Coturnix japonica: one gene and its partner. The protein of the gene in region 1 purifies or fractionates together with the protein of each later gene. This does not show direct contact. Links are inferred from orthologs where the notes say so. Each region holds a gene or a part of one and is shown in the gene's direction. Other genes may lie near its edges. The genes, in order: GAN and NUDCD3.

Region 1 (16,149 bases):
TAATTCTTGCAGATCAGGCTAAATGAAGAAACTATCCAAGATGTGGTACAGGCAGCTGATCTCCTGCTGCTTACAGACTTAAAAACTCTCTGCTGTGAGTTTTTAGAAGGTTGCATAGCTGCTGAGAACTGTATTGGTATTCGGGACTTTGCACTGCACTATTGTTTGCATCATGTTCACTACCTTGCCTCAGAGTATCTGGAAACTCATTTTCGAGATGTCAGCAGCACAGAGGAATTCTTGGAACTGACTCCTCAAAAACTGAAAGAAGTGCTGTCGATGGAAAAGCTCAACGTTGGAAATGAAAGATACGTCTTTGAAGCAGTGATTAGGTGGATTTCTCATGATTCAGAATCAAGAAAGGTCAGGATGCTAAAAGGGTTATTTTTTAATGTGACTTAAATTATTGTGCTTATTCTGATGGGTGGGAACTTCAGGTAGAACTGTAGAGTCATTTAGTCACGAGATCATTGAGTTCAGACATCATGTAACAGTACCAAGTCTTAAACCCCACCACCCAGCTTGATGTCCACATGACCCTGAAATACCTCCAGGGTTGGGGATGCCACCACCTCCTGGGGCAGCCCGCTCCAATGCCTCCCCACTCCTTTCATAGGAAATTCCTGCTAACATCCATCTCAACCTCCCTTTGAACAACCTCAGGTAGTTTCCTCGTGTCCTGTCGCTTCACTCCTCTTTGCTGTAACCTCTTTTCAGGTGGTTGTAGAGAGCAATGAGTTCTCCCCTCAGCCTCCTTTTCTCCAGACTAAACAGTCCCTGCTCCCTCAGCTGCTCCGTGTATATCTTGTGTTCTAGAAATGCTATTTTCAGAGCTAATCTAATAATAGTTGAATTTTGCCAGAAAAGCAGACCATGTCATTGTAGTAAGAGGGTGAATGAAAGCTGTGTTGATAAATCGTTTCTTGTCTTTATTATTTAATAGGCCTTAAGAGGAAAAAAGAAACCCATTGACACTCAATGATATAATGTTGATCTCAGAGAGAGAAAGCAAGTAGCACATTTGTAGTGAAACTTCAGAGAATTCTTAATTCCGTTCGATTTTGTTACTTATTCCAAACGCTGTGTAAAGTTTTTGTTAGTCTGTGTGTGAATGCATTGGCATCATCCCATGGAGTCTGGGGAATGTTGAGTTGGTCTCTTTCTCTAGGTTCACATGAAGGATGTCATGTCAGCAGTGTGGGTTTCAGGCTTAGATGCGGCGTATTTACGTGAGCAGATGATGAGCGAACCTCTGGTACGGGAGATTGTGAAAGAATGCAACAATATCCCACTCACGCCACCTCAGCAGGGAGAGGCCATGCTGGCCTCATTCAAGCCCCGCGGTTACTCGGAGTGTATCGTGACCGTTGGTGGAGAAGAAAGAGTGTAAGTATTGAGTGGCACTGCGGGTTGATATGAGTGGGCAGATAGAAACATCAGGGTGGAGCATCTGAGAACGCAGCATTTGCACCTCAGTCCTAAAAATAATGCAGGTCAATACAACGTGAATGAGGTGTGCCTGCTTTTTTATGTCTGGTGTGTAGAAAACTAAGCTTCCATTTGGTTTGGAGATTTTCTCCTTATCAGGGGAATGCTGTGCTCTATGAATGTGTGCTGTGGACAAATTGGCTTTAGATACAAGTAGTTAATGGTGAACTTGTAAAACTGTGTTTTGGTTTTGTTTGTTCCCCACCTTGTGTTCAGATCCCGGAAACCAACCTCAGTGATGCGGTGTATGTGTCCTCTTTATGATCCCAATAGACAGCTCTGGATTGAACTTGCTCCTATGAGTATTCCAAGGATCAATCATGGAGTATTGTCAGCAGGTAAAGGGGAACTTTGTTTTTGTAAAGGCAGCGTTATGGAAACATACCAATGCCTCAAAGTGTGAGATACAGTTTACGTATGTTTTTTCTTTAAGATTATGTTGCACTGGGCTTATTTCATGCTTCCCCTTTGTCTGCCCAAAACATCACTTTATTCTGTGAAAATCCCTGTCATATGAGTGTCTTATAGTCGCTATTCCCGCAGTCTCTGTGGGAATCTGCTCATCTGTTTCTCCAGGAGTATTTTGTGTTTTAAGTAAATTCTAGTTGCTGCATCACTGAATATGTTAAAGAGTATCTGTGGCGGTTGGCTTGAGTATGGGTTTGAACATGTGCTTTACTTCTTCCAGTCCCAAGTGTGACCTGTGACCGATCTGAAGCTCTTAGCAAAGCGTAGCGTACAGCTCACCATTCTGATTGCCTTGCTCTGTACATGAGTCCTGTTTTTAAGATCACGTTGCATTTTGTTTTACAGAAGGGTTTTTATTTGTGCTCGGTGGTCAGGATGAAAACAAGGGAACGTTGAGCTCGGGAGAGAAATATGATCCAGACACCAACTCCTGGAGTTCGTTGCCACCGATGAATGAGGTAAAGATCATTGTTTGACTCTTGGAGTTGGTTTTTCTTTTTCCTACTTCAGCAAAACATTCAGTTGTTTCTGCAGGATTATAGTCTGAATCTCTGATCATTTGCATCGTGTGCATTCAGAGTCATGGTAGGGTTTGCTTCCTGCTTATACCCTGTTGTTACCTGCAGCCTGCTAACAGCTGCAGGAGTGGCAAACACAAACTGTTACTGAAGAGCTGCTTCAAAGAGGAACTTGAGGAATTCCTTGCTGTCGAGGGCCTGTACTTGAGCTCAAAGGAAATCCACGTTTGTAGTTGTGATGCACTTTGAGAGTACAGACCTGAAAAGTTTCATTGTGGAGACCACTGCTGTGCAGACTGAAATACGGCCAAGCTCTGTTCTAAGGTTTCTGCAGGGTCTCTTTTGCTTTTGCTGCTCTGTTTGTTTGTTTTTAGTACCCTTTGTATTCTTTAATTGGAGAATATAATAATCTTATTTGTGAGATTCAGACTTCATTGTATTAAAAAATAACAGAAAAACCACTGTAGTAATTGATACCAGTATCACTTGTCTGACAGACACGAGAGAAGATTGTATTGACTGCTCAGTTAGCAGTTATGTTTTACAGTGCTGACCTCATTGATATCCCTTAGGCACGACATAATTTTGGTGTGGTGGAGATTGATGGAATTCTGTATATTCTGGGAGGTGAGGATGGTGAAAGGGAACTAATCTCTATGGAGAGTTACGATATCTATAACCGTACCTGGACCAAGCAGCCGGACTTGACCATGGTTAGAAAGGTAAGAGCTACATTGTATTTTACCACCTTCCTTGCTGTTAAACAGTTTCAACTATCCTGTGTATCATAAGGCTTTGTTTCAATTAGAAACTCTTAACAAGTGGCAGGGAAATGAGAGCAGGTCCCTTGTTAATGTGTATGTTAGAACCATGACTGAATGTTTATGTATAATATACATAAATGTGCAGAAGTGTGTGTATAATCAATTTTCAGCTCTGGATATCGCGTGTTTATGTGCAATTTTCTTTTTTCTTTGAGATTGGCTGCTATGCAGCTATGAAGAAGAAAATCTATGCAATGGGTGGAGGCTCCTATGGGAAGCTCTTTGAGTCTGTTGAATGTTACGACCCCAGGACTCAACAGTGGACAGCCATCTGTCCTCTGAAAGAGAGAAGGTGGGTGAAGGTGAAGCTTGGGGGGAGAGGGATGGATAGATTGCTGGAGTGTATCCAGTCTGAGCCCTCCAAAATGGTTCCTAAAGCACCATTATTATGGTGGCTGAGTAAAGAGAAGAATCCAACCCATCAAAATGTGCTTAGCATGTCACAAGCAATGCTATCCTGAAGCAAAATGAAGAGTAGAGGTTGTCATCCAATTGGAACTTCAGCTTTTTCTCTAGAGATAAATACATTACTGTAGTGGTAAATACATATATTTTTTTTCATCAATACATGTTATATCTAAAAATACATGTAAAAAATGAGAGAACTCAGAAGGATGGAATGTTTTATTTTATCTTCTGATTGTGTTTTTTGCTTCTTTTTCCTTTCTGGATTCCCAGGTTTGGGGCAGTGGCCTGTGGAGTTGCCTCTGAGCTTTATGTGTTTGGGGGGGTCAGGAGTCGTGATGACAGCCAAGCCAGCGAGATGGTGACGTGTAAATCTGAATTTTATCATGATGAATTTAAAAGGTAACTAATTACAGCTATAAACCTGGGGAATGCATACAGATCAGCAGTCACAGTTGGTTGGCTCTGGAAACAGTGTAGATTCTTGTCATAAGAAAAGGTGCTGTGGGTGCTGTTCAGTCCACAGTTGCCTCCAGATGCTACACGTGGCCGATCTCCTCTTGTTTGTTTTGAATTTGTTTCTGGTGATTTCATTTGTTATCTCTTGGCTTTTGTTTTAGAATCTGCTTCGCTGCATGTGGTAACTGCTTTAAACATAGCTTACATTAGGCTGAATTTTATGGATAGTTAATTCATGCTCCGGGTGTCACTGGGAAACTTTTGTACCTGCACTCTTTTCTTTTTGCATTCAACTATAAATGGGATTTCTTTGCTTTTTTTTTTTTTTCTTCTTAACTGAATTGAAATAAGACTCTGCTGTCAGATATCTCAAAGTGAGTTAAATATGGCAGAGAGAACTAAATCTGTTACAAGATTGCATCTTTGAATGTAGCCTATATAAAAGCACATAAAAATCGTATAGCAGTGGGGAATTTATTATATAACTTCAATCTCTGTATGAAATGGACTTTTAGTTGTTCTAAGTCACATCCATGTGAGCCCTGACCAAAAGAAGCTGGAGAGGAAATGCACGTCAAGGTGGTTATGGGAAGCAGACAGATAAGAGTTGCTACTGATCCTCCCTGGTGTTTTTTGTTTCTTTGGGGCCATGGGGAAATGTTATAAGCAAATAAGGCTCAGGACAGGAGGGTTTGCAGAAGAAAAATTCTGGAAATAAATGCTTTCCGACAAACTACCTCCTGGTTTTGGTTGACCTGACGGAAATGTTTCCAGACTGATGCTGTTCCTCAGAAGGTGCTTTGTGGCTCACAGTTCCTTACCAGTGACTGTAAACCTGTCTCACTGGTTGGTGCAGTTTGAGCGCAGGTGAGTTGGTGCCACCTGCTGTCTGTAGCACCGGTTCCTGCCAGGCCTGCGTTTCTCTGTTTTTGCTTAGTGGCATCCTAGGGAGTTACAGGATTCAAGTAAAGGTATGATGCAGTTCCAGTTCAGCTCTTGATTTTGTACCCCATCAGTCATGCGAGTGCCACAAGGGCTGTGCTGGCACAAGGTGAGATAGCAGTAGTCTGAATGTCCAGCTGCAGCTGGAGGCACCTGTAGGGAGCTGCTCAGATTGTCTCTTTGTCCTTCTGCCTTGCCAGTGTGTGTCATTTGTTTGGGAAATTCATCTTGATGTGAACCTGAGTTGGGGCTGTAGGCAGCTCCCGGGTGACCAGGACAGTCACCAGCAGTGCTACCTTTGCACTAAGCACTTCTTTGCTCTCTGGTTTGGGTAGAGCCCGTTTTCCCCCTCTGGAGCAAGAAGTGATGTTACTTACCAGGAGAGGGTGCTGTGATACCATGCTCTGTTACTACATCAGCCAGCAGGGACTGGCAGTTATCCCCAGATCCAGACACAGCCACACTTTGCAGGTTGAGTGCCATCTGTCACAGGCAGGGCAGGGCTTGAGGAGCCTGAGCTGTGTCTGCTTAGGGACAGTTCCTCCTTTTCATTAGTGCATGGCTAATGTGATACATACAGAGACTGATTCGTCATCTTAATGTTTCACAGTTACTACAGGTTATTAATTTATTATTGAAAAGCATGTATATTTCTACAGTGATAGTAGTTGCATATTGTTATCTCATTCTTCCTAACAAGCCACATCGTTTTCTGGCTGGGTTTAATTAACTTCAGAACTCCATTACGTTTGCTTTCTTTATGAGTATAAAAGCACTTCTGGTTGTTTGAGTTCAGCCTTCAGATATTGCTGGTTCACAGCTATGGGCAGCAATGGGCACATCTCATATATGTGTCATATCTCTCATTACCTGTGAGTAGAGGATGTAGCATCATCCTAGGAGCACGCAAGGAACTGAGTTACAAGTTTTGCTTAGTGTGTAAGAATAAGCATATGCAATTACATCAGTGCGTAAATCTGTTTTGGATTGGATGAAAGGAATGAGGCTTGACCTTATTCTGATGGCAACTGAGTCCAAAACAATTCACAGTGCATAGTCTTTCAGAATTGCAGTGCTTAAGTACAATAGAGACTCGTCCAAGGACTGGGAATGTGCGGAGCTCAAACATTGTGAGTCCTGCTACAGAATGCTACATAAACAAGTAGTGAAATAAATGAAGTGAGATGGAATAGTAACATAACATGGAATATAAGCAGAATGCTGTGGTAATTTATATTGTATTTGGCAATAACTGTAACTGAAATGTTTCTGTTAATAAATATTTTGTCAGTTTGTCTTTGGGATTACACGAGTGAGAGCAGGCAGGTAGATCCCAATTGGAGAGCAGCTTCCTTGAGGCTGGAGATGCGGACTTAAAGGCGATGGGTTGAGCTTTGTGTATGCTGTGCTCTTTTAAAATGCTACTCAAGATAGTAGTAGAAGGGTCTCCCATGCAGTATCCAGGAATCTCGTTACAAAGAAATGCTTGATATAAGGGGAAACCTGACCGCTATCAGTTGGCCAGTTAAGAGGAACACAGAAGAGGTTTTCCTTTGTTTGTAGGCTTCCTTTCACAGCTGGTGTGAGCTTATGGTGACGTGCATGGAATACACGGGCCCTGTTTTGTGCCTCTAAGTGCTTCCCATTTGGAAATAAAAGTTACCATCCTGCTTATTGCTTCCAGCAGTTCAGATGGATTTATTTGTCTGTACCGCTTTAAGACAGGGGGGAAAAAAAAAAAGAGGATTCCTTCCCTTTTTAAAAGGTTTCAGTGGAAGCATATTTCAGTTTGATAGTAATTGTTTTTGTCTCTAGTTAGGCGCCGTCTCCTCCGCTGCTCTCGGGTTGGGTTTGAGGAGAGCCATCCTGGAGGAGCATGTGAGAGTTACGTTCCGGAGAGTGTTTGTACATTCCTTTTTTATGGTGTTTTTTCCATACTGTTCCAGCAGTGGGCACAGCCCACATTGAGCTGGAGCTTCGTCAAGTGCTGATGAAATGTGACCCCTTGCCCTTCCTGTCTTTGTTCCTTCCTAGTTCTAACTGTGAAAACTGCTGTAAGCGTTCCTGAAAAGTTGTGGCTGTTCTTTTAAAGGACGTGCAGAGAAAGGTTGAGAGCGATTTTTCACAAGCAACTACAGATACTTTAATTTCTTCTCTTTATTCTGAAGTGCAGCAGTAGTGAAATGGTTGGGTCCCACACTTTTGTCCATTTAAACTGGAGCCCTGTGTTTCTAGTAGAGCCAACCCGTGGAGTTCATTTGATTTCTGAACTTGATGAGTATCTAAACTAACCCATCAAGTGCTGTATTTTTCCTTCCCTTGACACAGTATTTACCACTGAAAAGCAAAACGACCCCTTCTTCCCCAACAAACCTACAGTCTTCCTTCTCCATTTCTCTGCCTTTTATGCACCTTTCTTAGTTTGGGGTTACTTGGTGCTAAAGGTGAAAATACTGAATCTGTCCCCTTCCCATAGTGAGGGGAGCTACTGAAACTTGCTGAAGGGTGTTTTGTGGTGCAGCAGAGCCACAGTGATTGAGAAGAGGATTGCTTTCCTCTCATTATAGTTATGTTCTTGTCCTCTGCGACAGCTACAGAGGACAACATTCCCATGCTTTTCCCATTCCCTTGCTTTTCCTAGAACTCCAATCATTCCTTGTGCAGCACAGACAAAAAAATGGAGGGAGAAACTTTTAAAAGGCAAACTAAGGGATTAGCTGTCCCAAGGCAAATGGTGTGTAACAGCATCTCCTTCAGTGCCAGAAGGGAGACTTACTTCTGAATCATGAAGTAGGACATCATGGGGTTTTCAAAGGTCAGCTGTGAGAATATTTCTGAACTTTTCCCTCAAATTAGCCAGAAATCATATAGCAGTTCTTTGTTATTTTCTTACAGGTGGATTTATCTAAATGACCAGAACCTGTGTATCCCAACGAGCTCTTCTTTCGTGTATGGAGCTGTGCCTATTGGAGCCAGCATTTACGTGATTGGAGATCTTGATACAGGTCAGAATTAGAACTGATATTGTTGTTAGAACTAATTGTTGTTGTTGCTGGACCTCTTCAAAAAGAAATCGTGTACTGTAAACATTCGGTTGTTTAGCTGCTTGAAGACTGGAAGAAATCAAGACCAAGAGATTGTCAATGCTTTCATGTAAATATGAGAACAAAAGTTAGTGCCCGGGCTGTTCATCCTATCTGTATGGGAACTGTTGAGTCCCAGCCTGAACCACTGATTGAGCACCCGGTCAGCCCTGGGAGCACAAATGAAAGCAATTCAACTGTGGGACTGGAAGGGCTGCAGACCCCATATAAGGGCTGACTGCCCCTGGGGAAGGATCTCTGGTTGGAGATCCCTCCTTGGTGAAGCATTCTCTTGTGAACCTGGAATGTTCTGGTACAGGTGAGCTTCCCTTATAGCACCTTTCTATCATGCTGGTCCTTCTGTCATCACACCTTTGTTATAGTGCCTTTCCCACTGTGCTGATCTGTCCAGTTGCTGTACCATCCTTGCAGCGCTAAGCAGATGGTTCTGTGTTTTGGGCCCTCATCATGTGCTTCCCCTGGCTGTGGTGGTGGCCCTTACCTCTCTGTCTTAACCACACTCAGGTGTACTAACAAACACATTCAGTACTCCTCCTTCACAATTGCCAGCACTTGGCCCGACTGTAAAAGACGTGCGGGAGATGTTTTCATAGCTGTGTATCTGTAAAACTGGGCTTTCTAAGGAATATAGAACAGCAAAAGTCCAAGTGATGTGTATCAGAATAGAAGAAATGTCACAGTTTCCTTTTGAGAATGATTTCAGCAGTGTATCCAGAAGTTTTCAGTCCTGTGCATGCTCTTGTTCCCACATCTCCCTTACTAGAGGTGTAACATGCTGGTGGGTCCAACATGTCTTTAAGCATTCTTCTCTCTTTCTCCATGTGTGGGTTTAGGTACGAATTACGACTACGTTAGAGAATTTAAGAGGAGCACAGGGACGTGGCAGCGCACCAAGCCGCTGTTCCCGTCGGACCTTCGCCGTACTGGCTGTGCAGCCTTGCGGATTGCAAACTGCAAGCTCTTTCGACTGCAGCTCCAGCAGGGGTTATTCCGCATCCGCGTACCTTCCCCATGATCCGTGTGCTGACAGTGAGGAGACTGGAAAAGTTCTGCGCAGTCCACCATATGTAGCTCTATTTAAAGGAAAAAGCTGAGAAATTACAGCTGAAACTTACACTGTATGCTGTGCTTTGGTATGGTAACTGTTTTTGTTTTAAATGCTTAAAAAGCTTGAGTCTCAGTTCTTGTTTCGGGAACAAATAACTTACGTAAACATTAAAAAGAAGAGAGGGGGAAAACGAGGGGGGATCGAGGAAACGCCTTCAGTCGTAACCATTTGGACTTTACAGTGTGGGATTGAAGGAGATCAGCTCTGTCTGGAACTGGTGGGAACTGGTATTCCTATGGTGAAGTTTATTGGAAAGAGAGAAAGATTTAAGGTGCGTTTCCCTTGGGGGGGAACCGATAAGAATAAATGCGCTATCTTGGACCAGATAGCTCTAATATGCAGAAGCTCTATGAAAACCAACCTCCCTGGTGTACTGCAAAGACTGCTGCTTGACTGTGATGCCGCAGGAGGCGTTGGTTGTTGCACCTTTCACTTCTAGTCCTTCCTTAAAGCTAAGGTCTGTGCCTAAAAATGGTGGTGGTGTGTACATACGTTTTTTCATTCATTTGCAATGTTTTCATTCCTAAAAATATTTTTAATATATTTTAAATGGACTAATCTAAAATGGATGCAGTATACTACAGAGAAGTAAACTGTGCTGGTTTATTTTATGCTGACATTTGGATAGCCTGATGGACTGGTATATAGGTGGGTGGCATGTGTTTCTGCATGGGGTTTTAGAGGTCATTTCCTTGCAGTCAGAGGAAATGGTTTTTTGGAATGGTTTGGGACAATTGCTGCTCTCAGTAAAAGACAGCAACAAGTAAAGAGAGTAGGTTGTGTTCCTTCTTACTTCGAGGTGCTTGAAAACTAGGAGGATGTTGGGGTTTTTTTTTGTTTATTTTATGTCTGAGGGTTATGGAAAGAAACATTTTATCTCTGGAGCAAAGACAGAATATGGTAAGAATACGTTTGTTTCACAGATATCAGATTTTTGGATTATCACCTGCAGGAAATTTGTACGGCTGTTTTAAACTGGGATCAAAAGTTGGTTTGCTAATGATTTCCATGCTAGGGCACAGAGTCTTGTTTACTGCTGTTTGTCTTTGAGAGCTGGGCTGTGGTTATAGTGAGGAATTCAGTATCTGGCATTTTATTTCCTGTTGAGTCGTGTTCATGTCAGCTGTGATGTTCGACTGACTTCTGTTCTTGGTAGAGATGGGCTGGTAGGACACTTTACCTCACTTCTTGATTTCGCTGTTGTTTGTGATGGGTGGGATGTAACCTGTGGTTATTTAGAAGTTATTTAAAAGGAATAAAATGAGAGAGGTAGAAATAGAAATGAGGCCTCCTGCCCTTCAACAAAAGAGATTTTGTATAATCAGTATTATAACTAAGTACAGTACTTTCCACGCTGCAACTTCATGGACCTCAGACAAGCCAATCTCTGCCCTCGGTTGTGTTAGCATCAACCTTTGTCATAGTTACTGAACCTTCTTAGATCTGCTGCAATGCAATCCTGAACCAGAGTTGTATTCAACTAAACATTCCCCAAGGAGGTGTTCTGAAACTTGCTGTTGCTCAGTCCTTCCACAGTGCTGATGCGTAGTGGGAATTACTCGGATTCTGAGAAAAGGGGTGGGGAAAAAAAGGCCACAAAAGAGGGCAGCAGTCGATCCATTAGCCGTTATTTATTTATTCTTATTTCTTACAGTGCTGAATTGCTGCGAAACTTGAACTATTGACATCAATTTTCTGACCTCTCTTAGTCGGCGTATTAAAAAGTTTATATAATATTTATGCATTGCGGTAAACTTGATGCGTGTGTATATATGTGTCTTTAGGTTTAAAATTTATATATAATGCTTTACTACGGAAATGTGAACCACTATTTCCATCTTCAGCCATCTTGTGAAATAAATCAAGCACTGTTGGCTCATCTATAAAACCTCCCCTTTTCAGAAATTTCATGTTAATTTTGACTCTTAGACAAAGTGCTGAGATCCTGCATTCAAAAGTGATGAGACTGAATGTTTCTAAGTATCTGAACTTTGTCTTCTAAGTGCTTGGAAAACTCTCAGATCCTGTATGCAGACTATTGCAGGCTGCTATCTCCTGAGTCCCTGTAGCTCCCCAGTACACTTGAGGGCATTTAGTGTCCAGAAGGCCTAAGTAATAAATGCACATAATTAATCCAAATCACGTATACATTAGCAGTGTTTTGCAGTTAAAGATATTAAACGGATGTTTACAGTTAAAGTAGAATTAACAGTAGGTATTCTTACGTGTTTTGTTGTTGTTTTTTTTTTAAGGGCAAGTAAAGCAAGCAGTTCTGCTCCAACCGAAGTGTATTGCAAATGTGCTCAGTTAGATTTGGCCAAGAAACTTAAGCCTCTTCACCTGAAGCAGTTAACAGTTGGTCAGGGACCAGCCCTCTGCCAACACCTGTACCTTGAGTTTCAGGTACGTTCTCAAGGCAGAAATGTAGGTGCTCCTGAGATCTCAACATCGTCTTTGTTGGCCTCACCTGAAGATGTTTGTGTTGTGGTTTTGTGTTATGTTAGTGAGCGGCTCCTGGAGAGCTGCTGGGTGCAGGGGAAGGTGGGAGGTGTCAGTTGGGGTCTGTCTGCATGATGAGTGACCAGTGCCTCTCTGGGAATGTGAAATTCCACTCCAGGCTGGAGCTGGGCCTGGAAGACAAGGCCCTGCTTTCCAAGAGAGAGCCCTGCTGTACTGCTAATGGTGTGTGAGATGGATGGCTGGTCTCCGTGCAAGGTGGTTGTCTTGATAGGGAGGATTTGATTCCAGAGGTGCTGAATGGAAGGCACTGACCAGCTTCCTGAGTTATAGGGTTGAATTGGGTTCACTGGTAGGTGCTGTCTCGCAGCTCCCCTTGCTGCCCTGGCATCTGCCTCCCCCTGCACGGGATGACCAAACCACGCCTGAAGCAGCTCCTGCATTTTTTCAGCTTCCAATCCAGGAGTTTTCGAATATCTGTCAGTTTAGTAACTATTGAAGTTGTCCTTGCTTGGCATGGTGCTCTTGATAGCCAGTCCAGCTCAGTTCCTTCCAGCTTGAATCAGCCTTCATAAATCCAGCTGGTTCCCCCACAGGTAACTTGTTGAGTGTGAGCTGCCTGTGCACTGTGCTGCTTTCTAGGGATCAGGGCAGCAGGCAGCTGTAGTGCCAAGGTTCCTGAGGCCAGGATCTGTGTCCCAGAAGTGCCACAGATGCAATGCTCACACTGCGGGTTTGGGGTGGCCATATCCTGGGCTGAACCCTGCACGGTCCTGCACATCCTGCTGGTGTGGCCTTTCCTCCTCGCTGTGATGGGATTGGACAAACTGGTATGGAGTGGAAACTGCAGAAGACAGGAATCATGGTGATGGGTTCTTTCTTTTACCCCTCACTCCAACTTCTACCGCAGTCCCCTCCCGAAAAGTCTTTTATTCTTTTTCCCATGTATAAGAGATTGTTTTTGGAAAGCACAACTCCTGGCCTGGTCCCTGTTCCTCCCCTGTCCTGTGTGGGATGCTCTCCAGAGGGGCCAGCCCTGGGGTTCCAACTCTCGTCCTCTTCCTAAGCTGAAAAAGGGACGTCCTGTGTAGGGCCTTGTGTTCAGCGGTACTGCAGCAAGGTCTGCACATCTTTAGATAATTCATCAGCTGTTCCTCAAGTTTTCTTTGTTGTGGAAATGATGTATCAACTCGACTGCTTGGGTCAAGTGGCTTTCAGTAGCTTTGACAGTGCCTCATCTTTCAATTAAACTCAATGTGAGGTTACATGATAGGCAAACTTAACCAAGCCAGCTCAATGGTGAGTGCAGGCAGGCTTGCATCTCTTGTGTTTGACAGCACAGGACTTGAGTGTCACAGCATCTGCCTTCTGAGTCAGACTGCTTGCAGAAGGCACAAGTGTTTCCATCAGAGCTCCCAAGTGCCTGGCTTCCTTACCAACTCTCCTTCCAGAGAACATCAGGCAGCTTAATTCATTTTTTTTTTGTGCAGTATTTTTTGTGCCTGCATGACTCGGTAAATGCAGAACAAAAAGTGAGGGATATAGGGGCTGTTTTCCCTGCTTTGGCTGCAGCATCTCCGGTGAGCTCAGTAACAGCAGTGTCTGTACTGCCTGCCTGGCTGTTGGTGATGCACGTTTGCCATGCCAAGCGCAGGATGCAATAACAAACAGTAGTTGTTACAAGTGCCAAACTTCTGTTTCCTCTGTATGTAGCAGTAATTCAACTCTTCTGTTATATACGGAGGTGCTGAAAACTCACTGTGCTCCACAAGAGAGTAGCAATTCTTTTCTTTTTTTTTAACGAATGTTACTCAAAACACTAAATCTTTATTTTTTTTAATACTGTTTCTCAGTTTAGTGTTTTTCTCCTCACAGCTGCCTTCAGCCATCACTCCGTGTGGTGCATGAGGACACTGCTCTCTATTAGAGCACCAGTGCCATGCAAGTGCATCATAAATGGCAGCTGACGATAGGTAATAATAAAGTTAGAAATACTTGGATGAAGTACAATTCATTTGAGTTAATCTCATCTGCAGGAGGAAGGGTGTCTCTGGAGCTGTGTGGATATGGCCAAGGACACGGGCGTATCTAAGATTATAACTAAGGAGTGATTTTGTGCTGCTCAGTGATGCCTTTGGAAGACTTCTATTTGGAGTAGGGTATGGATCCTTTCTGCAATAAGCATCAAGGTTTTAGGGTTTGTGTTCTTGTTGCTCCTTGGAGTAGTTAAACAGCCTTTTCAGAGTGTGCTGTTAATTATGTGCATACTTGTTTTTTGAGGCAGAGGCTACTTATTCGGTGTTAACTTAGAGTACTTCCCTGCTGAGGACTGAGCTGGGGCCTGCGCTGCAGTCACTGGTGCTGTGGTGTTTGATGTTTGCTGTCTGCTGTTCTTGTTTGTTATTGGAGCCTAGAGCTGGGTTGGGTGGCACGCTGCTTTGGAAAGAAAAGGAAGGAGAGTTGTCTGAAGGTGGAGAAGCTGGGCCAGTGAAGTTGACTGGGACATATCAGTGTGCAGCCAGCGAGATATGGGTGAAGCACTGCTATGAAGATGACATCTGTGTGCCCTGAATGTTATGGATAGGTCACCGTATGGTTTGGTTCTTTCTTTTTACATTTATTCCAATGGGAGGAATTGCAACCAGGCTTTAAAGCAGCAACTCCAGTCAGCTTTGTCCTGTAAGACACTGCAGCCTGACCATGGCTGTGCTCCGGTAACCAGTTTTCTCAGTTCCTCGTTAACAGATAACCTGAAACAATGCATTAAAACCATTCTAAGTGCCTAATGAATCGGATGAGCATCTGCTAGAAGGTGTTAATGGTAATGGGGGCATCAAACAATAACCTGCTGCCAACAGCTGATTGCGCTGTACAGTGATACAGAATCTTAAAGGATTCTTTAAAATAGCTTATTCTGGGTAGCGGCTCCATTGTTCCAGAGATTATCATCTGTGTGTCAGACTTGTTTCGGAGGAGCTTCTGAAGGTTATTGGAAATAATGCCTTGAAAAATGAGCTGGAAGGCTGGAACTTCTCAGTGCAGACAGTTAAACCTCGCTGCTGCCCAGTATTTGTGCAGGATTTGCGTGTGGCTGATGCACACCTGCCCAGCACATCAGTAAATGAACTTCTCAATGCCATTGCCAACCTGTGCCCTTGAATTTTTGTAATGAAATGAGACTGTACCATACGCTCGTCTAAGCTGATGGATTTGATTACAGTGATAGACAGAAGCATCCCTGCCGTAAGTAACATCTATTATGTTGCTGATAAAAGTCAAAGATGTAATTTTTGTAATGCTCGGTGCTTTTGAATCACCACATGTTGCCCTTAGTTTTTCTTTGCCTTTCTTTTTTCCTGTCTTTTCACTTGCTGCCACGATGTCCTCTGGTTTTGTCAAGGGCGAGTTTCTTCTCTCCGTACTCCTAGCCCCAGTCACAACCCAAGGGATGTCATAAAGGCGGGCTGTACTGCAGGCTGCCTTTACAGACATCATTCCTGCCTGTCTGAATTGTGTCTATGCGCTGCCACCTGCGTGCATTTCAGAACAGAAAACAAAAGCACTGTGGAACAAAATTGCACTCGATTAAAAAGCAAGAGCCACTTTGGAAAGCCTTCTTTTTTTGCATGGGATGGGCAGTATGCTCTAAAGACTTATCACTGTGACTCTTCTTGGTTTTCTCAGCTTAATGATCTCACATGCTACAGCTTCAGCCTGGCAGCATCTGTTCAATTAATTTATGTATGAAAACAGGAAAGCGTTATCATCTGTCACGTGTTTCACCATTTCTTAAAAAGCCAAGTCTGTTTTGATCTTGGAATCAGTGGGACAGTACAGCAGAGGGTATGGCAGGGTGGTTGTGTCGAACAGCCATTCCCTGAAGCTATGTGTAAGTTCTGTTCTGATAGGAAGCCAAGGAGTAGCCCCGCAAGTGGCGCTTTCTCATAAACTCTTTGAGAACTGGTCTTAAATTGCTCCAAAGAACTCTTCAGGATCTCTCACAGTGGCTGTTCAAGCTTCTGTTTGCATGGGCAAGCACCTGCTGAGCTAATTTGGAGCATTTCTTTCCCCTCTCTGGCTCCTCAAACCTCATGTTTTGCTTCTCACAGTTGAAGCTTTCTGTATTTAAGGGTTGGAGGTGACATTTTGCAATTTCAGTCAGTACCTCAGTTTAGTTGATTTAAACAGCGAGCTGTGTTCTTGTGGACATCTGGGGTAGCATTAATACTGCATGGTAAGCAGTGAGGAAAACAAACAATAAAACAGCAAGATTCTTTTTTTAATTGTGCACAGCATTAGCTGTTCTCAGCCGATGGGACAAGAGGCTCTTTGTGGCACAGAGCTGGGGTGGTGCTGCCCAATGCTGCCTCTGGTGC
Region 2 (13,641 bases), on another chromosome or scaffold:
CTGCTGCTTTTTCACCCTTCTCTCTTGCCCTCAGCCCACGTGTGCTGTGCTCCATGGGTCTGTGCAGGCAAAGGGGGCAGAGGGAGAGCAAAGCAAGGAGCTGGATCCAGCATGGAGCAGCCCGGCCTCAGCCTCCCCATGGAAACAGCTCCATAGCACCGAGTCCTCCATGAAGGCACTTTGTTCCTGCGTGTCACGGTGCCACGTGCTCGGCACAGTGCCTGAAAGGTGAAAGCATCCAGAAGCGCCTTGTCCTGGGTCGTGCCAGAGCAGGATGGGAACCGCTGGGAGGACGTGCAGCTGGTTGTGGAGCCCAGATGGGTTTCTGCATCCCTTCACACAGAGCAGAGAGCGGAGAGCAGACTGTGCCCAGCTCTGCTCCTCCATGTTGCAGCCATCTGTGTGTCCTGCCCCCCCTGTGACCCAGTGACACCCCAGGAGCAGGGACACCCCAACGCTGTGCCCGGTTCTTGCTGCCCCTCCAGCTCCCGCAGCCCGGGGGTGGTTTGGAAGCCGCCATCTGGAGCCAACCAGCGCCAGCGCCGCTTCGGTGCTGCCATGCCAACCCCGTTTCTATGGCAATGGGCACCCAATGGGTGAACGCCAAGCAAGGCCAAAATTCCCAAGGAAAAAAAAAAGAGAAAAGAAAGAAGTGGTTGCAGGGTCCCCCCGCCAGCACAGCACTGCTCAGCCAGGGCCGGCAGCACCAGGAGCTGTGACCACACTGCAAACCCCCCACAGCTCATGTAGGGCTGCAGCATCCCAGCGCCCGCCCCAAAAGCATCCCCAGAAGGACCCAAAAAAAGAGGCGTGCGGGCGTGTGTGTGCACACAGACCCTTCCCGAGCCTAATTTAATTAAACCCTGTGGATCTTACGTAATGCTTGGGGCTGGGAGCCGCCCCCGCCCTCACTGTGGGGGTGTTGGGACGTGGTCCCCGGGGCTGCACAGCCCCTGCACCCTTATGTAAAGCCAAGGGCTGGGTGTGTATAGGAGCAGCTCTGCTCTTTGGTGGCTCCGCTGACGGCTTTGGGAAGGGGTTGTTTTATTTCCAAGCCCTCTCCGGGGGGGTTCAGTGGTGCACAGCAGTGATGTAAAGGGGCGTGAGGCTGGTAGGGACATCTTGGCTGGAGATGTGTTGGGTATTTCAAGGTGTGTTGCTGATGGTTTATCTGATCCCCCCCAAATCCCTCCACATCCATCCCTGAACCCTGCACCCTTTGGGCAGCCCAAGGGACATCCGTGTCCCCCCCTGTCTCATTGCCATCCTCACTGGCCGTGAGGTGAGGGGTGCTGGGGTGCCTTTTCCTTTCCCTGTGTGCACCCCACTGTCTGAAGCACCACAGGGTGCCACAGCAGGCTCTGCTCCCTCCCTGCTCCCAGCCTCCCTGCTCACCCTGCGCTGCCCCACACTCAGCCTCTCACTTGTTCTTCCCAGGAGACAGGAGCAGTTCCAGACGAACCCCGACAGCTACAACGGGGCAGTGCGGGAGAATTATGCCTGGTCCCAAGACTACAGCGACCTGGAGATTAAAGTGCCTGTGCCCAAACACATCATGAAAGGCAAACAGGTAAAGCAACGTTAATAATTTGGCTTCAGGCATCTCCTTCCCCTCAGGGTGCTCTGCTGTCCTGGGGAGCTGTGCTGGGAGCAGGGATGCTCTGCAGGATGTGGTCGTGCCTTGTGCTCCAGTGGTGGGGACCCACAGTCCCAGCCTGGCCACGTTCCCGCTGTGGCTGCTGCATCCTGTTACTCAGAGCCCCAGCAGGGTTCCTTGGCTTTGTACTTTCTGTGCTTTCTCCTCCAGTTCCACCTGCTGCAATCTCACAGGCATCTCTCAGAGCTCCATGTCCCACTGTGGCTCCTGTGTGCACTCGGACAGGGCTGCCCTTCCTCCTGAGCACCCTCAGGCTGTGGGGCAGGAACAGGGATGTGTCCTTGCTACCTTCTCCAGGCTTGGAGCATCACTTGCCTTTCTGAGACCCCGATCCACAGAGCGTCCCAAGACAGGCTGGACCTGCAGGAATCACAGAGTCCAAGCCCTGGCTCCACACAGGCCCACCCAAAATCCAAACCCTGTTTCTGAGGGTGCATCTCAGAGCCATATGTGTGGCATGTGGCCACACTGGGTGTCCTTTGGCCCCTCTCCTGTCCCTCTTCTCCTGGCCTTTGCTTGCCAGGGTGAGGAGCAGCTCAAGGAGCACACACAGGGCTGGGAGTGCTGGCCCCAGGAGTTTGACCTCTCCCAGCTTTCCCCAGTGCTCCCAGCCCGCAGCTCTTGCTGTATTTTTCCATTTGGGAAGTCGGTGCTCCCCCACCTCCCGTTCTCCTCTGCTGCTTCCAGGACAGCTGAAATGAGCACGCTTGGGTTTGCTCGCCGGCTGCAGCCTACACAGCTCCTTGGCGTGCCAACAGAGCGTAATTGGCAGCAGCAGCCCAGGCTGAAGGGGTGATGGCTGCCATGGGGACAGCAGGGGGACTGTGAGATACATCATTCCCATTGGGTGTCTAAAGCAAAGCCAGGCTGTTCCTTGGAAGGGCTCAGGGGTGTCCAGACGGATGTTCCATCCCCTCTGTATCGAATGGCGCTCGCGATGCCCGGGGACGCGCTGGGGAGTTGTGCCCATGCCAAGATCCCAGCATCACAGCCCATCCTTTGGCACCCAGCGCTGCGGGGGCCATGCAGGTGCAGCGAGGAGCTGGGACAGGACGTGCTTTCCTGACCTCTCCTGCCTCCCTGCAGGCTGTGCTGGGGGTGCATTTGCTGCCAGCAGCCTGAAGTGCCCACAGGTGTGCACCGACCCAGAGCAGCCCCATGGCACCCCGTTTAGTTCTGTACCCACAGCTCCAACATTTGGCTTTCCTTGTCCTGGCAGTGTATGTCCTGCTCGGGCCTGGCCTCCCCCCAGTGCTCCCCTCAGCCCCTTGCAGGCGGGTTTTCATTTCAGAGCTGCTCTGTGTCTCTCCAGCCAGAGGGGACAGGCAGATACTGGCTGGGTCACAGGCCAGAGCAGGGCGGTTCAAAGCAATTTTCAAGCTGGATGGACTTGGGGCAGATTATTGATGGGTTCCTGCAAAACAGGAGCGTTCCCTGCATTCCCCACGCAGCTTCGTCTCCTGAAATAATTATCAGTTTTTTGGCTTCTGCCTGCCAGAACGAGATTAACAATCTCCGTCTGGTCCCTGGGCTCTGAGCGTGCCCGGCTCCATCGCCGCTCGGAATGGCACTCCTGACACTTTTTGGATTCAGGCTGTTGCTATGGCACCTTCTCACTCGGGTAGGCTGGAGGTTTCCTTGTATGGAGCTCCGCAGAGTGGCCGTGGAGCAGAAAGGGGAGAAGGGGTGGGTGGGAGCAGCTCGCGTTCCCCACCTCCCCGATCCACTTAGAGGCGCAGCAGGGGCCCGTGGAGCCCTGAAATAGAGATCACAGCAGCAGCCTCTGCTGCCTGGCTCACAGGACATGAGCGAGGTTGGCTCCCAGCTTTGTGTGTGCTCGCTGTGCTGGTGGGGGCAGGTGGGGGTGTTCCAGGGAGCCGCTGCGGTGTGCAGCCCGGTGCAGGGCTGTGCTGTGCGGCACAACGCGGTGCCACGGCCGTGTGTGCTGTGCTGCCCTGGGGCTGGCAGCATCACAGCCCTTTGCTCAGCCCTCAGAGGGAAACCCCCATAAAGGGGACTGGGGATCACCTCGGTGAGCTCAGAGACCTGCTGGCAGTGACCACATGTGTATGATGGGGATGGGGAGCTGAGGTGAGCACAGCCTGGTCCATGTGTCCCGTCTGTGCACCCTGGAGGAGCTGCAGCATCAGTGGTCACATCCACGCCCCAGGTGAGGGCCTGCAGGCACAGTGCTGGGTGTCAGTGCTGGGTGTCAGTGCTGGGTGTCAGTGCTGGGTGTCAGTGCCGTGATGGCCGCTTGACACCCACATGGGTTCAGGGCTCAGCCTGGTGCTGCTGGTCCTGCAGCCGCGGTGCTGCCGCTGCCTGGAGCAGCTCTGCCCGCATCTCGCCTGCGTGGAGCTAGTGAGTCACTGGAGATCTCCTAGGTAATGGATAATGTAATAACATTTCAAATTAGCTCTGCAGAGCGGGAGGAAGATCTGGGGGAACTCTGGGAGAGAATGCAGGCAAATCTCACTGCAGTCTCCTCCTCTCGGGTGAGGGCCAGCAGCACCAGGGGCCCTGAGCTGTCCCCCCCCCAGCCCTGCTCCTTGCAGCCTGGCCATGCAGGGCGGCAGCAGATGGGCTCTCTGGGGACTGAGGCAGCTCTGTGCAGCTCAGCCAAGTGGCAGCCTGCCACCGTGTCCCCGGGAGGGCCACGTCACCTCACGGCGGGTCGCAGCAGGGTTACCTGTATCACTGCTGCAGGGGGGACACACAGACATCCCTGTGCATGCACGGAACCTGGTGCTGGCTGTGCCTTGGCTTGGGGGCCAAACAAAGCTGGGGAGCGCAGCAAGTGGGCACCCAGTCTGTGAGCTGGTTGTCCAGGAAGGGAAACTGAGGCACAGAGAAGTGTCTGTGAGAGTCTCTGCAGGGCGGTGCTGCCTGCTGCTCCCCAGAGAGGTTTCCTTTCACCTCAGAGCTGTTTGCTCCGAGATGGCAGTGGGATTCCCACCCTCCATCTGTACAAGCTGATGGTTCTTCTCTCTCTCTCATCCTCAGCGAGTGCTCTTGACCCCATGCCCCAAGCAGCGCAGCAGGGAATGGAGCAGGAACCTTGCGATGCTTTTCTCTCTGCCTTTCCAGGTGTCTGTGGATATCAGCAGCAGCACAATCCGCGTGGCAGTGCTGGAGGGGAGCAGCCAACGTGTGCTCATGGAGGGGAAGCTCACACACAAGATCAACACGGAGAGTTCCCTCTGGAGCCTGGAGCCAGGGAAGTGCGTTTTGGTAAGGGCTGCCCTCTCCTTGCCTTGCCTTGCAGCTCCCTGTGCTTGGCCTGGAAAATGGGAGCAGCTGGAGGCTTGAGCCAGAGCTGGCTGCGTCCCACGCTGCCTTTCCCTGGCTGTCCCTGTGCAATGTGCAGCTCATGTGTGCCAGGCAAGGGGAAACCCCACTGCTTGTTTCTGTGCTGCCCCGGGGTTCTGACACGCTGCCGGTCCTGTTGGAAGCAGTCAGTGCAGCTGCTTCTCGTTGCCTTTTACGTCTTCCTGGTCGAGGTGGTTTGGGGGCAGCAGCTCGTTATGGGATCTGCTGCCCCACAGTGAATTGCTGCTGGCTGCAGGTGTCTCTGGTGTGCTCTAGCGATGTGGGCAGAGGGGTGATGCTGCTGGACTGTTCCCACAACAGAAGGCAGTTGATGGGCACCCGAAGGTGCTGTGACTTTAGAGTAGGAATCCTACCGGGTTCATCCCATTGAGTGCAGAAGTGCCAAGGGAAATGCATAGAAATCATGCTCAGGCAGATTCTGTGATCTGGGTTGAAAGGGACCCCATGGATCATGGAGCTCCAACCCCCGGCCGCAGGCAGGGCCACCAACAGCTGGTACCAGACCAGGCTGCCCAGACCCCATCCAGCCTGGCCTTGAAGATGTATCCTGGGGCAAGAGACCAGCTGCCAGGAGGGCCCTATGGGAGAGAAGAGCATCTCCAGATCAGTTGGCCGTCTGAAGGATGTTTGAAAGGAGACAATGGGATCATTCATCAACACTTTTCAAACATGGAACTTTTGAAAACCGTCTGATTTGGGCTTGTGCACAATCCTGGGAAGGAGCAATATTGTTCAGGAGGAGCTGATCCACACGTGGCTGTGTGTGGGCAGCTGGCATTGCCTGCCCGTGTCCTGAGCTCAGCAGGGTGTTACACAGGATGGGAGCAGTGTGGGCAGAGCGAGACTCGGGGCTTTCTGCTGTGACCGTGGGGAGCGGACCCCTCATCTCCAACCCGAGCTGGAGGCAGGAGCCTCAAATTAGCACGAGCTCAGGGCTGTGAGGATCTCCAGCTGGCTGCCAACATATTGATGGTGGGATGAAATGTCTCTGGAAGAATTGTAAGGTAACTGGAGCAGAGTGAGTAATTCAACCCCAGAGTGTCTCCTTTCTCCGTGCGCAGAGTAGCCGAAAGCGCCGGGCGATTCCTTCCATTCATTCATCAGGAGACACGCAGCCATTTGGTGCTTCAGCTGCTGGGAGGGAACTGTGAGCACTGGGCTTGTCCTGAGCATCTTCGTGCAGGACGTGTGAGCTGCCGGGGGCAGCAGCCTCCAGTGAGATGGGGGCACAATGAAGCCATGCTCAGTGTGCCAGCGCTGTGCTCGCTGTCTGGACGGTGCCTGTCCATTCCCCTCACTCCCAGATCTGGCCGAGCCCTCGGCACATTTCATGTCCTTGGGTGCTTTCATGGCTCTTTGGCACCCAGATGAGGCAGAACCCCGTGGGCTGTGGCTGTGGAGCTGCCTGCTCTGCCCGGCGCCGCAGCCCGGCCGTAATCCCCGTGCTCTCCCCTCGCTGTCACGCCTGCTCACTTGTCAAAAGGGAGATGAAAATAGCTTCGCAGGAGCCGTATTTAGAAGGCTCTGCTGGGTGTTGTGCACAACACGTTGGGGATTATTTTTGTTGTTGAGGAGCTTTTCCCCCATTCCCTCTTTCTCTCCTCTCCAACGTTTGTGATCCACGCTCAGGCTTTGGTCACCCAGTTCTGTCTCGAGCAGCTCTTACATCCTTTGCCTGTCATCTCCTGAGCGGGGAGTTAATAACAATCTGTGGCACTCCCCGACCTCCATGTGCCGTTGGAAGTTTGCCCTGGTGCCCCTCAGCAGCTCCTGTCCCCCGCTGGCTCCCAGGGCCGCTGCTGCCATGTCGGAAGGGAAGCAGGTGGCAGGAGGTGGCTTTTCCAAGTCCTGCTTCCACCCTTTGGCAGCATCCCATCCCTCCAGATCTGACGCAGCACTCGGGATCCAGGAGGGAACCCATCACTATGGCAAAGCGCAGCACACGCAGCGAAGGACTGGGCCCCTCCTCGCAGGATATGGGGACATGGGAGGTGACACGGTGACGCTCGGTGCTGCAGCACACAGGTCTCCCTGCAGCCCATCCTGCCCCAGCCCGTGGCTTCATACAGCTCCAGCATCTGCCGGTCCCAAAGCAGAGATGTGCAACCTGAGCATGAGGCACCTGGAACCCGATCCTCCCTGCAGCTCCGAGCTGGGGCAGAGCACAAGAGCAACGTAATCAGGTCAAGATTTATCCGTCCTTGTGGTGAAGCCCTGTTCCCTTGGCAGAGCTCCGCAGGGTTCCAGTGTGCAGCCACCTTCCATGGCCACCTCCCAGGGCACAGCACGGCTGGAGCAGCGCTCATGCAAGGAACCGACCCCGCACCACCAACCAAACCCCAAACCCCAAACCCACAGCTCAGCAGCTTTGTGACCCTGCCGGCACTTGGAGGTTGTTAGGAAGTGGGGCTGCAGACTCAGGGGGGGGTCCCACTTTCGGTCCTGTCCCCCTGGAATCCGGGGGCAGAGCAAACCCCCCCCACGCGCAAGGTGGGCCGCAGAGGTTCATTGGGACTGTTTGCAAAGCTCTCAGAGCGGCGGTGATGCACAGAAACGCTGCCGAGGAAATGAATAATTCTGCCTTCCCAGCAGGGTGGGAGCGGGACGTGGTAAATAAAGCCGGGCTGGGAGGAGGAGAGGGGCCGTGGGCTGCAGCTCTGCGGGGGGCTTCACACCCACTGCCAGCCCTGCCGTGTGGGCTGTGTGCCCGCTATGGGGCCGCGCACCCCATGGCTGTGTGCCCGCTATGGGGCCACGCACCCCATGGCTGTGTGCCCGCTATGGGGCTGTGGACCCCATGGCTGTGTGCCCGCTATGGGGCCACGCACCCCATGGCTGTGTGCCCGCTATGGGGCTGTGGACCCCATGGCTGTGTGCTCCTAGTGCTCAGTGCTGGGTGAGCACCCAGGGTTTGGCCTGACAGAAGGTGCTTCGCTGCTGTGCTGGAACCCACCGCCCTCAGCTCGCTGCGCTGTTGTGCCAGCACTGCTCTCCCAGGAGGACTGAGCACAGCCACCCCCTGCACCAATATCGGCTCCCAAACCTTCATGGCTGCCCCCGTTCTGTGGTTGGGCTGGGGACAACGGGACGTCCCCCCTCCCTTGGGCTGCCCCACCAGGGATGGAGGATGGCTGTGATGCTCTGATGTCTGCACAGGCCATGGCTACAACTGTGTCCCCTGACCTGGTGACGTGTCCCCATGGTGGGACATGGGCTCAGGGTGTTGTATCCCATGGTGGGACATGGGCTCAGGGTGATGTGTCCCATGGTGGGACATGGGCTCAGGGTGATGAATCCCATGGTGGGACATGGGCTCAGGGTGATGTATCCCTATAGTGGGACATGGGCTCAGGGTGTTGTATCCCCATGGTGGGACATGGGCTCAGGGTGATGTGTCCCATGGTGGGACATGGGCTCAGGGTGATGTGTCCCATGGTGGGACATGGGCTCAGGGTGCTGGATGGGTTTGGGGTGACACATCCCCCACTCCCTGAGCCATCCATTGTCCCCAGATCAACCTGAACAAGGGGGACGAGTACTGGTGGAACGCCGTCCTGGAGGGCGAGGAGCAGATTGACATCGACAAGATCAACAAGGAGCGCTCCATGGCCACGGTGGACGAGGAGGAGCACGCCGTGCTGGACCGCCTCACCTTCGACTACCACCAGAAGCTGCAGGGCAAACCGCAGAGCCACGAGCTGGTGGGTGCCCCCAGCCGGGAGCCAGGCCCTGTCCCCCTGGGGGTCCTCAATGTCCCCCTGGGGCAGGGGTGGTGGGTGTGGGGCAGCCCCACGGTGACAAACCCCCCTGTTCTTTGCAGAAGGTGCACGAGATGCTGAAGAAGGGCTGGGACACCGAGGGCTCCCCGTTCCGCGGCCAGAAGTTCGACCCGTCCATGTTCAACATCTCGCCCGGCGCCGTGCAGTTTTGACCCCGGTGTAAGCGGGACAAGCGGCGACGTGGGGAGGGGAGACCCCAGACCCGGTGTGGGATGCCCTGTGCCCACAGCCGGCATCAGCACAGCACGGGGGTGGCATCCCATCCCATCCCATCCCTGTTCATCCATCACCATCCATCCCATCCCTGTTCACCATCACCATCCCCATCCCTGTTCACCATCACCATCCCATCCCATCCCATCCCATCCCATCCCATCCACCTCCCATATCCATCCCATCCGCATCCCATCCCATCCCATCCCATCCACCCACACCGGCATCCAGCACCGGGCCCTTCTCTCTCCTCTCCTCTCCTCGCGCTGGCGACGGCTCCGTTGTTTTCAGGAATAGACGGAGCTCGTTGGTGACATAATTATTATTTTTGGTGGTTGAGGATATTTCTGGTTTTTGCTTCTTTTGCTCATCCCCCCCCCCGGCTGCTCCCTCAGTGGTGGCTCACGCCCTGCTCTGCCCCACGGGCTCCACGCGTGTCCCAGCCCCGGGTCGGCACGGCAATAAAACCTTGTGCCCCGCGCGGGGCTCTGCGAGCCGCTTCGGGGACACGGGTGGGGGCGATGCCGCCTATGGGGGCGATGCTCCGTCACTTGTGGGGCGCAGCTGGTCCACGAGGGCAGCGCTGCATGGGGCACCATGGGAACCATAGGGACACTGGGGTTCTGTGGGGGCTCTGCGGTGTCCCAGCCCCACTCGAGGGCCGCCGCCCGTTCGTCCCCCGGCGGGCAGCAGCGTCCCACGGTGCCACGGGGCACATCGCCGGCCCGTGGCTCCGGGGGTCCCGCCCCGTCCGTCCCCGGTGACAGCGCAACAGCCGCAGCCCACGGCCGCCCACGTTCTCCATGGCAACGCCGCCTGCCGCCCACTCGCATCCCCCCCCCCAACCCAGCGTGGGCCCGATCCACGGCCCCGCCACGGGGGTGGGGCTTCATGTCACCTGCCCCCCCCCCCCCCATGTAGCGGCTGGGTGGGCTGGGGGGGGCTCAGGGGGGAGGCTCAGGGGGGTCCCCCGTGCTGGGGGGTTGGGGAGTTTTCCCCCCCCCCACCCCGTTTTGGGGCAGAACTGAGGGGCTGTTGCACAACGTTTGGGACATTGGGGGGAGTTGGGGCGGGGGGGTCGGTACGGGGTGTTGGGGGGTCCTGGGGATGGGGGGGTGTATGGAGGGGTTACATATGGGTTGGGGGGGGGGCGGTGGGTTATGGGGTATTTAGGGATGGGGTCGTCTGGATTTGGGGTATTTGTGGGGATCTGGGTACGGGGCCGTCCGGGGGGGGGGGGTCGGCTCGGTCCCGCGCCGCCTTAACGGGGGGTGAGGAGGGGCGGGATTGGGGCGGGGCGGGGGGATCCTGTGGCGGCGGGGGGGCAGCCCCGGGCTGGAGCCTCCCCCGGGCGGCAGCGCCCTCCCCTCCTTCCTCCCTCCTCCTCCTCCTCCTCCCCGCGTCCCGCACCCCCGCGCCGGGCGGGCCGAGCGGAGCCGAGGAGCAGCGGACGGAGCGGGCGCTCATAGCGCTGGCGGCGCGTTGTGCGACGATGTTTCCACCACGGTAACGGTCAACGTCCCACTCTGGAGCCCTGAGCCGAAGTGAGCCGGGCCCGACCAGCTCTACGAAGGAGACTCCGCGCCAAGTAAAGGGGCACGATGGTCAAGGTCCACGGGTTGGCGGTCGCGGGGGAGGGTTGGGCGCCCTCTGGGGAGCCACGACGCCTCGACATGTGCGCTGACGCTTTTCCAGTATGCGCCTAGAAGACTGCAGTTACTCTCGGCTCGGTAGAGCGGGGTGGCGCACGGTACCGTGGTGGCCATCGTGCCGCCAGCCAGCCCCGGCTAGAAGGCAGGCAGGCCACCGCTGCCTCGGGGCTCGCTCGGCGCCCGCGCCGCCGGCGCGGGTGCGGGAAAGCGGGCCCAGACCGTAAGAGAAAGGTTAGCAAGCGCGCAGGACAAGGGGGGAGGGAGCAGCCTCGAGTCAGCCCGGTAGGTTCTAGGGAGCTCCCAGCCCGGGGGCTGCCCCCCCGCCCTGCCCCCCCGGCCCCACCCGCAATTTGACGGATCGCCCCCGCCCGCCCCACCTGTCCCTCCAGCCCCCCCGCATCCTCCACATCCGGGCGCGCCCGGCTTCACACGAGGGACCCGGCGCGACGAGCCCATGAAAATGTACCCGGGACGGCCGCACCCCGGCATCCCATGAGTCATCCCAGATAACTACTCTCCACCTCTCCCCTCCGACGCCCCCCCATATAACTCTACCATATTTATCACTATATCCAAATATGACTCCCATATATCCCCACCATATCTCATGCTCCCAGATCCCCTCCAATGCTAACACCGCATACCCCCCGTGCCCATAGAAGCCCCCTCCCCCCGTCCCCGTGGCCCCCCATCCCACCAGAGCCGATCGCCCCCGCTCCTGCAGCCCCAACCCCCCCAGAATATCAGGCCAACCCCCCCCCGAATCCCCACCCATAATTCCCGCGCAAGTGTCCCCAAACCGTTGGTGCAAACACAGCCCCCTCAAGTCTCTCGCCAGTCCCCCAATAAACGGGGTGGTGGCGGGGGGGGGAACAACTCCAATCCTACCCCCAGCGCATCAGGCGCGCACCCCCCTGACTCCAACACCTCTCTAACCCCCCCAGCCCAGCCCCAGCGCTACCACTGGCGGGGCGGCGCGGGGGAGGGCATTGAACCGCCCCGCTGACGCATGGCATATGCCTCCCCACTCGCGCATCCGTGGGCGGGGGCCTGGGATACGGGGCCACGCTCCGCCGTGGTTGGCCGGGGGCGCATGCCGAGGTGGGCGAGTCTCCAGCGCTACGTGAGCCCTTGCCATGAGTGTGCATGCACGCAGCGGGAGGCCCGTAGGACTCCCGCCACGCAGTAGAATTGCGCTCCCGGTCCACGTGCCCTCGCTTAGAACTGCAGATGCTCCTTGGTCATCTTCTCCCACACCCTTCAGTTCTACAGAGACCCCCAGTCCTTCTATCCCTCAGGTTTCCCATAGGCCCCCCTCAAGTTCCTCCTCCTCCATCTCCCGCGCAAAGCGCGCGGGGAGGCACGCGCGAGCGCCTAGAGGCGCAGGGTTATGTGCAGCACCCGTTCCCTGTTTGCCCTCAGATGAGCTCAACGGAATGACACCGCGCGATCCTAGATCCCACCGGCGTCGCACCCGTGGCCATCGCCTCGGCGTGCACGCCCCCCCCTGCTCGTGCCGCTAAGCTGAAACAGGGGCGCGCGCGTGCGCATCGAGCTACAGGCCCGCCTTCTACGAGGGTGCACCCAGAGCCCGTCCGCAGAACGCCCCCACAGTTGTACCCCCACCCCCATTCCAGTTGCTCAGCGTCTACATGGTCTTGTCACCGATGGACATGACCCCATGCGCGACGACGATTGCTCTCTCGTGGACCAGATGCGAGCCCCCACACTCCCGACCATCAATGCTGAGTTCTAGGGAGCTCACTCGCGCGCCCAGCCTTTATAGCGTCGCGCATTGCGCTTCATATACACTACCCGCACCTGTACCGCCCGTCAACGGCATCTTAGGTCGCAACTACAGGTCACAGGGCTTCACCCGTGTTGAAACTCCGAGTTCTAGGGACCGCGCGCCCGGCAACTAACTCATCAGAGTATTTCCCTATCTGCCAGAGGATGCCGATTTGCGATAGACCGGCCCTGCGCCGCACAAGATCCTTTGGAACTCGCCCCACCCGCCTGGCAGCGCCGTCCAGAGAAGCAGAGCTCCTTAGAGGGTCGCTAAGGTTAGCTTCCAACCCCCACCCCCTCATCCCTGGAATGTTCACCAGCCCGCCCGGGGGCGGTGTGGAAGCCCATCACAGGCGTGCAGCTAGCTTCACATCTTCTGACGGAGAGGGGGCGGAGCCAACGCGCGGTCTGATTAAGCGTTAATCTCACATAACCCTCCGGTTCACACTCGACCCCAGAGGCACTCTTCGCCGAGTCGGTCGGCAAACCGGGGCGCTGGCATGCGCAGACGCAGATAGCGATGAACGTTCAACTAAGCGAGCTCGTGGGTTCTCCCTGCGCGCGACCCTCGCCAGCGCCTGTCAGGTCGCCATCTCGTGGAGTAGAGGGAAAGTGCCGGCACTGAAAGGTTATGTGGGAGTGGGGGTGGAATGTTGCCGAGTCGCGGAGTAATCCTGGGATATTAAGCGGTAGTGTGATTGGAGGCCTATGGATGGCCCCTGTATCCGTGGATTGGGATGGGAATTGGGGATGGGGATGGCGATGTGTGCACTGATGATGGACCTGGTGATGCGCCGAGTATGGGATGTTGTATTGGGACCTGGTAGATGCGGCTGGAATGCCCCTCCCGTGTCCCTCAGGTGTGTGTTGGGGGGGTTCAGGCCCTGGGTGGCTCCCGGTGGTGGTGGGGCCTTGGGGACCCCCCTGTGTGTGTGGGGGGGGCACAGTGAGGACCCGGCGGTGGGGACTGGGACTCCTCCGGGTGCCCCCCCCCCACTTGTGGGCTGTGACCCCCATCAGAGCGCGGTGCTGCCGGGTGGGGACGCTTGTCTTTGTGGGGGGGGCACACGGAGCTTTAGTGCTGTGTGGGGGGCGCTGGGGGCTGCTGTGGCCACATCACTGTCCCCAATGCCGGGGGGGCCGCCATCCCCGCGCCCACCCCCGCTGCCATCCGGGCCACCGCCGTCCCCATGGCAACGTGCTGCGGGTGCAGCTGCTG

What was found.
Region 2: the proteins of GAN (region 1) and NUDCD3 purify together in Homo sapiens (co-immunoprecipitation; 3 studies listed by BioGRID and IntAct, counting the BioPlex papers as one, with this or other methods). This does not show direct contact. The link is inferred for Coturnix japonica from reciprocal best matches to the Homo sapiens genes GAN and NUDCD3.

The regions. Positions count from the first base shown.
Region 1 is NC_029526.1:13,708,800-13,724,948, forward strand, and holds part of GAN (gigaxonin), read left to right. Parts: intron 1-12; coding exon 13-363; intron 364-1,168; coding exon 1,169-1,386; intron 1,387-1,704; coding exon 1,705-1,826; intron 1,827-2,301; coding exon 2,302-2,414; intron 2,415-3,046; coding exon 3,047-3,196; intron 3,197-3,453; coding exon 3,454-3,590; intron 3,591-3,976; coding exon 3,977-4,105; intron 4,106-7,999; coding exon 8,000-8,109; intron 8,110-9,041; coding exon 9,042-9,223; 3' UTR 9,224-16,149. UniProt on the Homo sapiens protein: Probable cytoskeletal component that directly or indirectly plays an important role in neurofilament architecture.
Region 2 is NC_029537.1:87,131-100,771, reverse strand, and holds the end of NUDCD3 (nudC domain-containing protein 3), read left to right. Parts: intron 1-1,437; coding exon 1,438-1,570; intron 1,571-4,747; coding exon 4,748-4,891; intron 4,892-8,502; coding exon 8,503-8,691; intron 8,692-8,810; coding exon 8,811-8,921; 3' UTR 8,922-9,045; downstream 9,046-13,641.